3 linked regions of the Nothobranchius furzeri genome follow. The protein of the gene in region 3 purifies or fractionates together with the protein of the main gene of each other region. This does not show direct contact. Links are inferred from orthologs where the notes say so. Each region holds a gene or a part of one and is shown on either strand. Other genes may lie near its edges. The genes, in order: cdk8, polr2k and med19a.

Region 1 (4,491 bases), on a different chromosome or scaffold from region 3:
TAGGTGTTTAATTTCCTCCATTTCAAACAAAAGCACACCCCACAGCTGCAAATTTCTTCTCAATTTTTAATTAATGCACCTAATTGGACAACTTGGGCTCCAAATGATGTTCCACATTTGGTGGTTAAACCTCCGTTTTTATCCAAGTCTACACTTACAACTGGCACAATATCAGAGCAGAGTTAAATACTGCTTTCTACCACAGAGCTGCAGCACTCTGTGTCCATTGACAGAAGTGAAACCATATGGCTGAGAACATCAGCCCATCTTAAATTGGAGATCAGGCTTGCAGGCCTCACGGTGATTATTCTCTCCTTTTCCCACAGCACATTATTAAGTTTCACAGAGCGTCCAAAGCCAACAAGAAGCCTCTTCAGCTACCCAGAGGAATGGTCAAGTCTTTGCTCTACCAGATTCTGGATGGCATCCATTACCTCCACGCCAACTGGGTCCTCCACAGGGACCTGGTGAGAGGGTTTGGGGCAAAAGGGGGCTTTGGGTAGAAGGGAAGTAAAAAGATTGAACTTTGTATTAAGTTGTTTTAACTTTAAATTGAATGTTGGTATTTCTTAACAGTATCATTTATTATACTCATCTCTTTCATGAAGTTTAAAATAGACAATAGAATACAAGTTATTAATTTGCCCACTAGAGGGCAGCAACAATTAGTTTAGATTGGATCTTTCTTGCTGTGCTGTTTTCTTGCTCTTCTGTGGTCTAACGGTGAGCTGCTGTTCCTAAATCTTTGTTATCTTTCTGTTTGTCATCATCAGAAACCAGCAAACATTTTAGTGATGGGAGAAGGTCCCGAAAGGGGTAGAGTGAAGATCGGTGTGTATCGTGTTCATTTCTTAAGTAAAGTTTTACTTTATAAACTAACACACGTTGTTGTTTTGTAGCGGATATGGGGTTTGCTCGTCTCTTCAATTCACCACTGAAGCCTTTAGCTGATCTCGACCCCGTCGTGGTCACGTTCTGGTACAGAGCACCTGAGCTGCTGCTGGGGGCTCGGCACTACACCAAAGCCATCGGTGAAACCCTTTTCCACTTCTGCTCTGCACGTGTTTTTTATTGGTGTGGCTTTGACTTATGTCAGCACGTGCTGTGCGTTTCTCCCAGACATCTGGGCGATTGGCTGTATTTTTGCAGAGCTGCTAACGTCTGAGCCCATATTCCATTGTCGTCAGGAGGACATCAAGACCAGCAACCCATACCACCACGACCAGCTGGACCGAATCTTTAATGTTATGGGCTTCCCTGCTGGTGAGACTGTTAATGTGTTGGTGTTACACAAGATTTTTCCAGCTACGATGTTCTGGAAGGAAATGTGATGAAACGCATTATTTTCTCGGTCTTTACTTGCTCTGTTTTTGAATGTATTAATGTGGTCTGTAGACGCCGGACATCAAACCACAGACTTTATACAAGTCACAAACCTAGAGATGGTTGCTTGCAGGCCTACATTTGGACCGATACTTTCCAGTTCACAAAATCTGCTTCACTTTTCCTTTTTTCTTTTCTCGTCTCTGCCGCTCTATTTATTTAATTCACCAGTCAGTTAGAAGGATCACTTTGGTTTCTGCAGAAATTTTGGGCAAATTTGCAGAGTTTAAGTACAAAACCAAAGCTAATTGGTGTAAAAATGAAAGAAATGTTGTTTAATTGTAAGTTGCTGTGGAAAAATAATTTTTTAATTTCTTTAAAGATAAATGATCCTTCGTCCTAACCCTTTGTTGCCTTGGTCTAACAGATAAAGACTGGGAAGACATCAAAAAGATGCCAGAGCACTCCACACTGATGAAAGATTTCAGAAGGAACACGTGAGTCTGCAGACCACTTGTGTCCTGTTTTTTATTTGTTTTAAGATCAAAACAAAGCAAAGTATATCTTAATACACAAAAATTACACACACTTCATAGTTTGCTCCTGTTTTTATACAGATACACAAACTGCAGCCTTATAAAGTACATGGAAAAACATAAAGTTAAACCAGACAGTAAAGCATTCCACTTGGTGAGTTGAAGCGCTTTTGATTTAGTCTTTCTCTGCCTGATATATCTGGTACGGCTTTTTGTTTGACATTAAAATCACGTTATTGATTGCAGCTGCAAAAACTATTGACCATGGACCCCATCCGTAGAATCACATCGGAGCAGGCAATGCAGGACCCGTACTTTTTAGAAGAGCCTCTTCCCACGTCTGAGTGAGCTGCAGCAGATTTAGTTCTGGCTTTTAGCGCGGCTAACGTGCCGGAGGAGACTCCTGAACAGGTTGATGAGGTGTTTTTGCATTCTTCTAGTGTGTTTGCAGGTTGTCAGATTCCCTACCCCAAGAGAGAGTTCTTGACAGAGGAGGAGCCAGAGGACAAAGGAGACAAAGTAAAATTTACTTTACAAACTTATTTTATGAATGCATTTGAATCAAAAAGCAGTGGTGTACGTAGATAATCCTCATGGGCGGGCAGTATAAATTTGGGGTGGCACCAAATTGGTCCCTGTGGCTGTCGATTGCTTCTTTGTTATCTTTCATTTAGAACTAAAGGCCTATGCGTCCGTCATATTTACCTCAGAGTTGAGGAACACAAACATTTAAGAGGTTCATAGTTTTTTTCCGCTTTTGTTTTAAATTTTGCTGTTTTATAATTTTAAGTTTAAAATTTGCCTGTTGTCGTTTGAACAAAACCTTTTTGAACATATTTTTGAAAAAATATAGTGAGCCTCAATGGGATACGTAGTATATAAGCTGTGATAATTTTTTTTTAGTAGAATACATTTATTTGTTAGTGTAAAAATGTATGTCCTAATTAAAAAAAGATGAATGTACAATTTGTGTGAACATGATTGTGATTTATTAGGGAAGGTGGGGGGGTGGTCTTCCCTGGTGGGGGGCAGTGGGGTGGCCACCAATTTACCAGGGTGTGGCCATGGCCCCCCATCCCTGGCCACCCCTTGGAGCACCCCTGTCAAAGCAAAAATGAGAAACTAAAATGTTGTAGTACATGTACAGTATTGTTTAGATTGTTTTGTTGTTGGGTGTTTTAGAAGAACCAGCAGCAGCAACAGGGAAACAACCACACAAACGGGGCGGGGCACACTGGCAACCCAGAAAATAGCCACACCCAGGGCCCACCTGCAAAGAAGGTGCGGGTTGTCCCTCCCACCACTACCTCAGGTGGCCTCATTATGACCTCAGACTACCAGGTGAGCTTTTCTGCTGCTCATCTGGACACACAAACAGAACAGCTTGTGTCCTAAATGCTAAATAAAGAAACTAATTGCTGATGAAAACAGAAGAAATTTGAAGTTTTTACTGACAAAGCTTTTTTTGTTGTTGTTGTTGTTCATGCAGCGCTCTAATCCACATGCTGCCTACCAGAATCCTGGACCAAGCACATCACTGCCCCAAAGCAGCATGGGATACTCCTCTACCTCCCAACAACCACCCCAGTACTCCCACCAGTCCCACCGCTACTGAAACACCCCTCCCACAAATAAACACACACATTTCTAATCTGAACACACACTCACACAGCCATTTCTGTGACCGCCTGAACGAATGTACTGAAGGATGTGGGGATGGTGCAACACCCCACACCCTACCTTCTGAAGGCACTCTGCTGTGATCTGGTAGTTCAGAGAGACAAAACAACTCCACCAGTGTCAGACAACACAATCCCAGTACAGCGTAAAGCAAATCCTCATGGGTGAAAGGCAGATCAAGAGGATAAAAATAAAATATTCCATTAATCAGGCAAAATACAGACGAGCCATCTCCTTTCCTCTGCTTCAGTTCCCCTCGTCCCGTCAAAACTTGGATGAGACGAAAGCTGCTACGTGACTGCCCACGTTAACAGATTCTCAGTCCTCCTATTTGTTTTGTTTTTTTGTGTGTAAGGGGCCTCCGCTGAGGACTGAACTGCGGCAAAGCAGGCTGGGAGATTTTTGATCTCACAGCTGTGGGATGGAGGCTTTTTTTGTTCAGAAAGGACAGAGTAAGGATTTTAGTAGTTTCTAATTTAATCTATTGTCATGATTTTGTTTTCATGACAAGCGTAACACAGCAGAGTGTGTGAGTTGCTGTGTACTGTGAGTAAGCCTTACAACATGACGACAAAACCAACTAATCGTATGGAGGATGGCAGATGGAACATGCATTGTACTGTATTGCATTTAAATATTTTACATGAAACAAGTATCCTGACAATAAAAGTGGAAACATCAATTTTGGACCAATTTCAGTGCATTTTGTCATTCATCATTTCTTTTACTCTGTTATTGTTTTACAATAAGACATATTTTACAGTATAATACACATTTTTATATAAAACGTGTCAATAAGTACATGTATTGAAAAAATAATGCTTATAGAAATTATGTTGCATAATTTAGCACACATAGTTTTGTGCTGTAATGTCCATTTAAAACATATTTACTGTAATCAAATCAGCAACTTGAAAATGGGATAAAATGCTATACTAAATTCCTTTTGAGG
Region 2 (3,915 bases), on a different chromosome or scaffold from region 3:
TTGAGGATGGTGGCAATCTCCTCTTCTGTCAGCTGACGTGGGAAAAAAAGGAAAATACAAAAGTAAATCAGCAATTTAACCTATTTTATGAGCCAAGCTGTAACTTTTTAGAAACGCGCACCGTTTTGTTTCTCAGCCTGATGATGTCAGAAACAGAGCCGGCTCCGCAGTACTCCATGACTATCCACAGATCTGTGTTTTTAAAGTAGCTGCCGTAGTATTTCACAACATACGGGCTAAGAGGAAGGCAAACAAACGTGGTTCTAAAAAACTGGTGCAAAGGCGACTTTGGACAGTCTCATTCATTAGAATTAAAGAAAGTTGGGGTGTCACCTGTCACACTGCTGCATGATGGAGATCTCCTTGATGATTTCCTGCAGGTCAGACTCCACAGGAACCTGCTTGATGGCCACCACCTGCCCTGACTCTTTATGAATGGCTTTAAATACACTGCCATAGGAGCTGATTACACAAAGAAATGCATCTTTTAAGTGAAACTACTAAATAAACTATGATTTACACAGTAATTAGATCAAGTTAAAACATCTCACCCTTCACCAAGTTTCTCTAAAACATCAAACACCTCCTCCGGCTGCTTGGTCAAGCTGTCCTCGCTCAGCTTTTTCAGCTTGCTGAAAAATTCAGCAAAAATATTGTGTATTTAACACAATGTCTCTTTAATAATGGAAGAAAGACACAATATTTCTTTATATATGCACATCAAAGTTTATTTTATAGAGTAAACATTACTTTCTGTAGGAGAACTTGAGTGTGTGTTTATAACTTAAGAGGAATGATGAAAATAATTGATGAAATCTAGATAAAAATACTGTTTAAAAAAATTTTGAGATATTTTTGGTCTTTGATCATAATCTGGATTTAATGCAACCTAGTATCAATGTACACAAATTAAACAGATAATAAACAATTTAATCCTACTGTCTTATAAAATTTAAATACATTTTAAATTTAATTAACTTAAAAGGTGCTAGCTTAAGCTAACCAGTAAATAGATCGGTCCAAAATAAAGTAAACAGTTACTTCGAATAAATTATGATTTTCCTTAATACACATTTAATTTATTATATATTTTTGAAGCGACAATGAAATCACCCCCAACGACGCGAAATCCAAAAACGTCTAAACAATTAAACAAACCATAATCTCAATGGAGGTTTTAACCGGTTTTGTGTTTTTACTTTCTGCTTGTTTATCTCTGTGGAAAGTTTGAGAGAACTGAATTCGCTTAGCATTAGCATCCTGAGCTACCGCCTACATTAGCCTGGTGGTAAAGCAGAGGTCTCAAAGCAAACGTTCACAAACCTTTTAGGCGCGGACGGCTCCATGGTACACCAACTCGGAAACAAAAGTCAAACAAAGTATGAAAAAGAGAGCGCGGGTTTGTCAGTGGTAGTCAAGACGTGGACATTGTCGGCAGATTCGTTGTTGTCACAAACTAGTGGAGGAGGGCCAGCTGGGGGGAGCTCTTCAAATGATGGACATTCTTGTGTTCGACGCTGCGACAGCGCCCCCTGTCGGGACGGAAGCGCACTTTACATTGTTTTATTTTACAAAAACACAATTACGAATCAGATTGACAATGTTTGGCTCGAGTCAAAAACAAAAACTCTAAATAAAGTCTAATTTATTCATAAGGTCCCAAAAGAATACTAAATTAAGCCAGAATTTGTAGCGTAACGGTAATTGAAAAATGAAACACCCGTGTTGTGGATTTGCTTTCAAGAGGATGTTGTGTCAAGACAGGAACATTTTTAGTATAAAATATACAAAAAAAAATTCTTTGCTTCCAATTTTTAAAATCAGTTCAGATGTGTTTCGAATAATTCACAATGCCTCAAAACCGCTGGGTGACAGTAAAGGCACGTAAAGCGTGTCGATCGTCCTGTAAAACCAAGAAGAAGAAATTTGACGCAAGCGCAGAAACCCAATCGTAAAAGCGGATGGTTTAGTGTGTGAAAACAGTAAACATTTCCCAAATTACGCAGTTAAACGGTGAGTCATTTCGCTTCCTTTCATCAGTAATTAACTAAATGCATGTACACGGTTTAATTTGTGCTCTGTGCGTATACAGTTTCACCAAATTCAGAGACGTTTATGCAGTTTTGAGCTAATGTCCGGAGCACCATGCTGTTTCTGTTAGCATGCTAACAAGAAGAAGGGTTGTTGATGAAATGTTTACATTTCTGTCTTTTATAGAACAAAATGGACACACAGAAAGATCTACAGCCGCCCAAGCAGCAACCAATGATCTACATTTGTGGAGGTTTGCTGATGAAGCAACTATCATTGCAATTCTTGATGGTTTTATTCACGAAATATAGAAAAGTCATCAGAAAAATACTAGTTATGACTAATTAAAACATATTTCTTATTAGTAAATATTCCATTTTAGCCTGACAGCATGTAAACGTCGATTGTTAATGTGTTTGCACAATTATACTGTTCTAAATTAATTTTGCAGCAGTTCTGAAATACATTTATATGTCTTTATAAATGTATATATTTTTTTTTTATGCAGAGTGTCACACTGAAAACGAAATAAAGGCCCGCGACCCGATCAGATGCAGAGAATGTGGCTACAGAATCATGTACAAGAAGAGAACAAAGAGATGTATCCTTTCTCTCTCTCTCTCGTGTGTGTGTGTGTGTGTGTGTGTGTGTGTGTGTGTGTGTGTGTGTGTGTGCTTATTTTCCTTGACTCATTGATTCCAGTGGTTGTTTTTGATGCACGATGAAGAGGAGTGGAGCTGCAGATTGATCTTTAGTTGTTGTTTTCTGTTTTTATTGAGTCTGACCTTGTAAATAAACATAAACTGGGGCTTCAGCTTTCATGTTGGTGTAGATTCTCGCTCATTCGGGTCGTGGCATTCCTAAATTGCACTTCTTGCTGAAACATCTTAGAGCAGCAAGATAAATTCAGCCTTTTTGGTTTTTGGCATCCGCGGTTTGTGTCAGGTGTTCCTTATGTTATTTTAGTAAATAATAATGATGCATAAAAGTTTTATTTTAGAAAAATCAGTTTGATTTGACTGTTTTCTTTTAAAATCCTTTGTGGCCAGCAACATTAACAGGATGAAAACTCTTCAGTTAGTTTAACACATCTGCTAAATAGATATGATCCACAGTCATTCCTGAAATAAAAATCAACCTTTAGGATTTAAATTCAAAGTTTTAACCACATTTCTCTAAGAAGGAAAATTCTCATCTGCTGGCCAACAATTCACAGATTCACCAATGTTTTTTGGTTTGTTTATCTGAGAGCACGTTGTCGTGTTTATTTTAAAATTTTCATAATCTTGTTAAATTATGGGGTCTCATTTCTAAGTGAGACTTGTTTTAATCAAACATGCAAGAGAAGAAATTAGTAACAAGAATATTTAGTTACGAAGAAGATTGTAAAAAAAGTGTCTAAATAAAATGTGGAAAGAAAATCAGTTTCTCAAAAACGTTTGACTCAAAAATATTTAAGTGAAGAAAAGGTTTTTGTTAGCTTTTACAAATTCAATTCAATTCAAGTTTATTTATGTAGCGCCAAATCACGACAAGAGTCGTCTCAAGGCACTTCACATAATAAACATACCAATCCAGGTCAGTTCATTAAGCCAATCAGAAATAATGTTTCCTATATAAGGAACCAAGCAAATTGCATCAAGTCACTGACTAGTGTCAGTGACTATACAGCAATCCTCATACTAAGCAAGCATAAAGCGACAGTGGGGAGGAAAACTCCCTTTTAACAGGAAGAAACCTCCAGAGAATCCTGGCTCAGTGTAAGCAGGCATCCTCCACGACTCACTGGGGATCGAGAAGACAGAGCAGACACACACACACACACACACACACACACGTGCGCACACATACTCACACACGCGCACACACAAAGACACACACACA
Region 3 (4,347 bases):
TGTCCAATTCTTGCCTTCCATAGTTGACAAAATCTGTTATGGGGCCATGTAATAGCTTTGAAGGTCTTTGGAGCAACTTTAGAATCAAATATTTATGCTGCTGTTAAAAAACTGCATTATACAATAATTTATCATGGTGGGCCTTTTCAATGATTTGTAATTAATGTCTGCATCTTGATGCATCGATTATTGATTAATTTCCTCAGCTGTACCTGGTAAATTTCTGAGTTTACTGTGGACTTCAGAAAACACAATGGACCAACACCAGGAGAGGACATGGAGCCCAAATCATTAGATATCAACACCACACCTGGACTTGAGGCTTACTCTGCAACTTTTTCATATTTTTACATCGTTTTCTTTAGCCAGTATGTACTAAAATGACCCTTAGGGTGAAAAAAATGTCACTCAGACCCCCACCGCCCCCTGTGGCCAGAATATCACACTTGCAACTTGTCCGGTCCCTGATGGACTTAGTAAAGTGGAACTGACATGCTTCTTTAGCAATGACTTTCTATGGTTTCCCTTCCTTGTGGTAAAAAAGTTATCCGTGCATCCCTAATTTACATAATAGGTCAGATGAATTTTTTTAAACAAGTGACAAAATACTATACTTTTTCAGGATTTTCTACCTGTATTTGTCATCGTTTAAGCCAGGGGTGTCAAACTGAAATTCACTCTGGGCCAAACTGGAGAAACTAGAACAAAGTCATGGGAAAATGTTTATGGATGCAAATGCTTAAAATTTTCTTTATCTTCTGATTTGTGTTGTTGAATGTTTTATATGGAAACAAACCATAGTCTTGCATTAATAGTTACTCTGGAATAACCAAAGTTTAAAATTAACAACACACGGGCAGTTAACTTTGAAATAAAACACATCAGATGGAAACTGAGCAGAAGCCACAGAGTCAAATTTGAGCGTTTTACTACACCGGAGCTCATTTGGCTCCATTTGGAGGTTGCTTTCTGCGCTTTTCACGTCGGCCACAAATAGATTACTGAGCTGTTGAAATCTTGATATTTGGGCTTCAAAGTTGGCAAATTGCTGGGTGCTAACTAAGCAGTCATTTTTTTGTTTGTCTGAGACCGAATCTGTGGTCTCCAGGTCCGCAGCCGTACCCTCCTCGAGACTGGTAGCATGGATGCTGCTGATAATGCAGCAAAGCATTCTGGGATCTGTAGTATTGGCAACATATGCACTGGCAGGTCAGTTCTCGAGGGCCAGGGTTTGACTCCAGTGGCTTAAGCTATAGTTAATCTAAACCTGCATTCTGACAGGTGCTGGGACTTCTGGGCGCTCTAATGAATTAGACTTTGAGGGCTGAGGCTGTATCTCTAAAACCAAAAGTTTAACTTTCATTGTTTCTGATTTGTTGTTTTTTTTTAGCCTCTTTAATCTCACCTGGACTCCTCACTATGGCCTGTAAATTACACGGATCCCTTTCAGCCACGCTCTTTATTTCCACTTTTATAGTGTCTCTTTTGTTGCAGGTATGATCGACTGTCCGGGCACTCAGGACGGCAGCTCTCTGCGCTCTCTGATAGATAAGCCTCCCGTTTGTGGGAACTCGTTCAGCCCGCTGACTGGTGCTCTGCTCACAGGATTCAGACTACATACAGGACCGGTACCACAACACTGATTATGCCTGATAATAAATGATCATCTTATCCCCGTTATGTAACATGTAGTGTTTTTTTTTTTTTCCAGCTTCCAGAACAGTACAGACTGATGCACATACAGCCCCCAAAGAAGAAGAGCAAACACAAACACAAGCACAATCGACCACAGGACCCCCTCCCACAAGGTCTGGTGGCGTGTTAGTGAGGTCAGCTGAAACAAGTGCTACGTGTTTTTCACCACACTGACACGTCTGTTCTGATTTTAGAAACTCCGTCAGACTCTGATCCCAAGAAAAAGAAGAAAAAGAGGGACGATGATCCTGACCGCAAGAAAAAGAAGAAAGACAAGAAAAAAAAGAAGGTGAGAAAATTTTAAACACTAATTAAGTTTCTAGCTGGGCATTAAAAAGATTTAAAATGTTGACTCGGAATAGCATTGTGACATAAGTCGCACAGCAGTTTTGTTTTTTCATCCAGTTCTCAGTATTAATGAGTACACCCCCTTTGAAGAGTACAAATTTAATCAGTAGCTCAATGAACTAAAAAAATTTTCCAGAATTTTAACAAGGCTGGGTTTTATTAAACACTTGCTTAACTCCATAACATGAAATTAAGGCTATTAATATGACTTGGATCACAAAATCTTCAGTTTTGCTAAAATTGGTTTTAGCAAAAAGGAATACACCCCTCAACAAAAACTACTACATCAAGTCTTCTAGGCATGGCATGAACAAGATGGTGACATATTGCAACATCGGGCTGCATGGTGGCACAGTTGTTGCACTGTCGCTATTTCTGCGTGGAGTTGCGTGTTCTCCCCATGCATGCTCGGGTTTCCTCCGGGTACTCCGGTTTCCCCCACAGATCACAACATGCCCTATAGGTTATAAATTGTAAGTCGCTTTGGATAAAAGCGTCTGCTAAATAAATAAACATAAACATTAACATCTATCTTTTTCCATTCTTCAAGAATAACGTGTTTTATAATCTGGATGCTGGATGGAGAGTGATGCTCAACCTTCAGAATTCCCCACAGGTGTTCAGATCAGGAGACATACTTGGCCATTCAATCACCTTCACCCTGTTCTTCTTCAGAAATGCAACAGTAGCTTTAGATGCGTTTTGGATCATTGTCGTGGTGGAAACGTGCACAATGATTCAAATTCAATTCAATTCAAAGATACTTTATTAATACCAGAGGGAAATTGATTGCTGTAGTAGCTCAGAATAATAATAATAATCAAGTCATCAAAGAGTTATTGTATATTACAATGGCTGTTGGCAGGAAGGATCTCCAGTAGCGGTCAGTGTTGCAGCCAAACTGAAGAAGCCTCTGACTGAAGACACTCTTCCGTTGTCGGACAGTCTTGTGAAGAGAATGCTCAGGGTTGTCCATCATTTTCTTGATTCTCTGGAGAATCCTTCTTTGCATTATCCCCTCCAATGATCAAGTGCATGGAGTGATGGCTGCATCTTCTCCTTCAGTATAGAACAGGACATCGTTGAGTTCATGATGCCATCAATGAAATGCAGCTCCCCAACACCAGCAGCACTCATGCAGCCCCACATAAGGACACTGCCACCACCACCACGTTTCACTGTAGGCACCATGCATTTCTCTTTGAAATCCTCACCTTTACAACGCCATAGTTTTGAAACCATTACTTCCACAAACTGTGATCTTTGTCTCATCACTCCAGAGTACAGAGTGCCAGTAGTCTTCATCTCTTTCAGCACGGGCCCTAGCAAATCCTAGGTGTGCTTTTTGTGCATGAGCTTTAGGAGAGGCTTCCTTCGTAGACAATACCCATGTATGCCATTCCTCTGCAGTGTGCGTTGTATGGTGTCATGGGAAACGGTCACTCCAGTTTGGCTTTCTACTGCTTTAACTAACTGCAGTGAACTTTAATGGTGATTTTCTTCAGTCTTCAGAAGACGCTCCTTTTGAGATGTTCACTTCCATGGACGGCCTGGACGTCTCTGTAAGATGGTTGCACTTTCGTCTTTCTTACATTTTTTGGTCTTACATTTTTTGGTCACTTTTGCTACAGTATTCTGACTGATATGTAAAGCTTGGCTGATCTTGTAGCCCTCACCTTTTATGTGTAAATACATTATTTCCTTTCTCAGATTTTATGACATTTCTCTTCCATGTGGAGCCATTGCTGGCAGCATGAAATGGGAAAGGCTTTCTTTAAAGGGGCATTATGGAAGTTTGACAGCCAAAACATTTATAGAAATAATAAATTTCTTCTTCATACATTCTCCTGCAATGCCCTGGTCCTGTAGAATGAGCCCTGGCATTTTTACTGTGATTGCCTGTTTTTCTGTAAAATCACAGAAAAAGAGAGCTGCTCGGGTCGAGCAGGCTGCTTCGTGCGCGTTCACGCTCAGGCATCGCCCTCCGAACCGTTCTTTGAACGTTGTTTCAGCTGTCATCAAGGATATAAATGGTACAGATATGAAAGATGTCACTGGCGCTTTAGCTCGCCTAGAAAGATGTCGGACTTTCGTGCGGAAGACCCGGGTTCGATTCTGGATGTGGACATAGTTAAGTTAGAGTTTCATTTTTACATTAATGGTATATTTTTTACAGTAAGATGCCCAAATTTTTATTTGAGACTCGCCAAACAGCATTGAATTCACAGATAAAAAAGATGTGGGTTCAACTTTCATTTTGGAACAATTTTTCAAGCAAGGGAAGGGAATGATCTGAGCATGCAG

What was found.
Region 1: the proteins of med19a (region 3) and cdk8 purify together in Homo sapiens (affinity purification with mass spectrometry; 8 studies listed by BioGRID and IntAct, counting the BioPlex papers as one, with this or other methods). This does not show direct contact. The link is inferred for Nothobranchius furzeri from reciprocal best matches to the Homo sapiens genes MED19 and CDK8.
Region 2: the proteins of med19a (region 3) and polr2k purify together in Homo sapiens (affinity purification with mass spectrometry; 3 studies listed by BioGRID and IntAct, with this or other methods). This does not show direct contact. The link is inferred for Nothobranchius furzeri from reciprocal best matches to the Homo sapiens genes MED19 and POLR2K.

What each region holds. Positions count from the first base shown.
Region 1 is NC_091747.1:51,013,588-51,018,078, forward strand, and holds the end of cdk8 (cyclin-dependent kinase 8), read left to right. Parts: intron 1-326; coding exon 327-467; intron 468-773; coding exon 774-831; intron 832-899; coding exon 900-1,031; intron 1,032-1,119; coding exon 1,120-1,263; intron 1,264-1,750; coding exon 1,751-1,820; intron 1,821-1,940; coding exon 1,941-2,013; intron 2,014-2,105; coding exon 2,106-2,203; intron 2,204-2,299; coding exon 2,300-2,378; intron 2,379-3,041; coding exon 3,042-3,200; intron 3,201-3,348; coding exon 3,349-3,474; 3' UTR 3,475-3,693; downstream 3,694-4,491.
Region 2 is NC_091759.1:1,440,358-1,444,272, forward strand, and holds polr2k (DNA-directed RNA polymerases I, II, and III subunit RPABC4), read left to right. Parts: upstream 1-1,881; 5' UTR 1,882-2,013; intron 2,014-2,217; 5' UTR 2,218-2,223; coding exon 2,224-2,284; intron 2,285-2,539; coding exon 2,540-2,632; intron 2,633-2,733; coding exon 2,734-2,756; 3' UTR 2,757-2,852; downstream 2,853-3,915. Other genes in the region: stk3 (serine/threonine-protein kinase 3), read right to left, coding at 1-32, 122-236, 334-462, 552-632, 1,324-1,346. UniProt on the Homo sapiens protein: DNA-dependent RNA polymerase catalyzes the transcription of DNA into RNA using the four ribonucleoside triphosphates as substrates.
Region 3 is NC_091741.1:91,561,540-91,565,886, forward strand, and holds part of med19a (mediator of RNA polymerase II transcription subunit 19-A), read left to right. Parts: intron 1-1,494; coding exon 1,495-1,628; intron 1,629-1,711; coding exon 1,712-1,808; intron 1,809-1,889; coding exon 1,890-1,984; intron 1,985-4,347. UniProt on the Homo sapiens protein: Component of the Mediator complex, a coactivator involved in the regulated transcription of nearly all RNA polymerase II-dependent genes.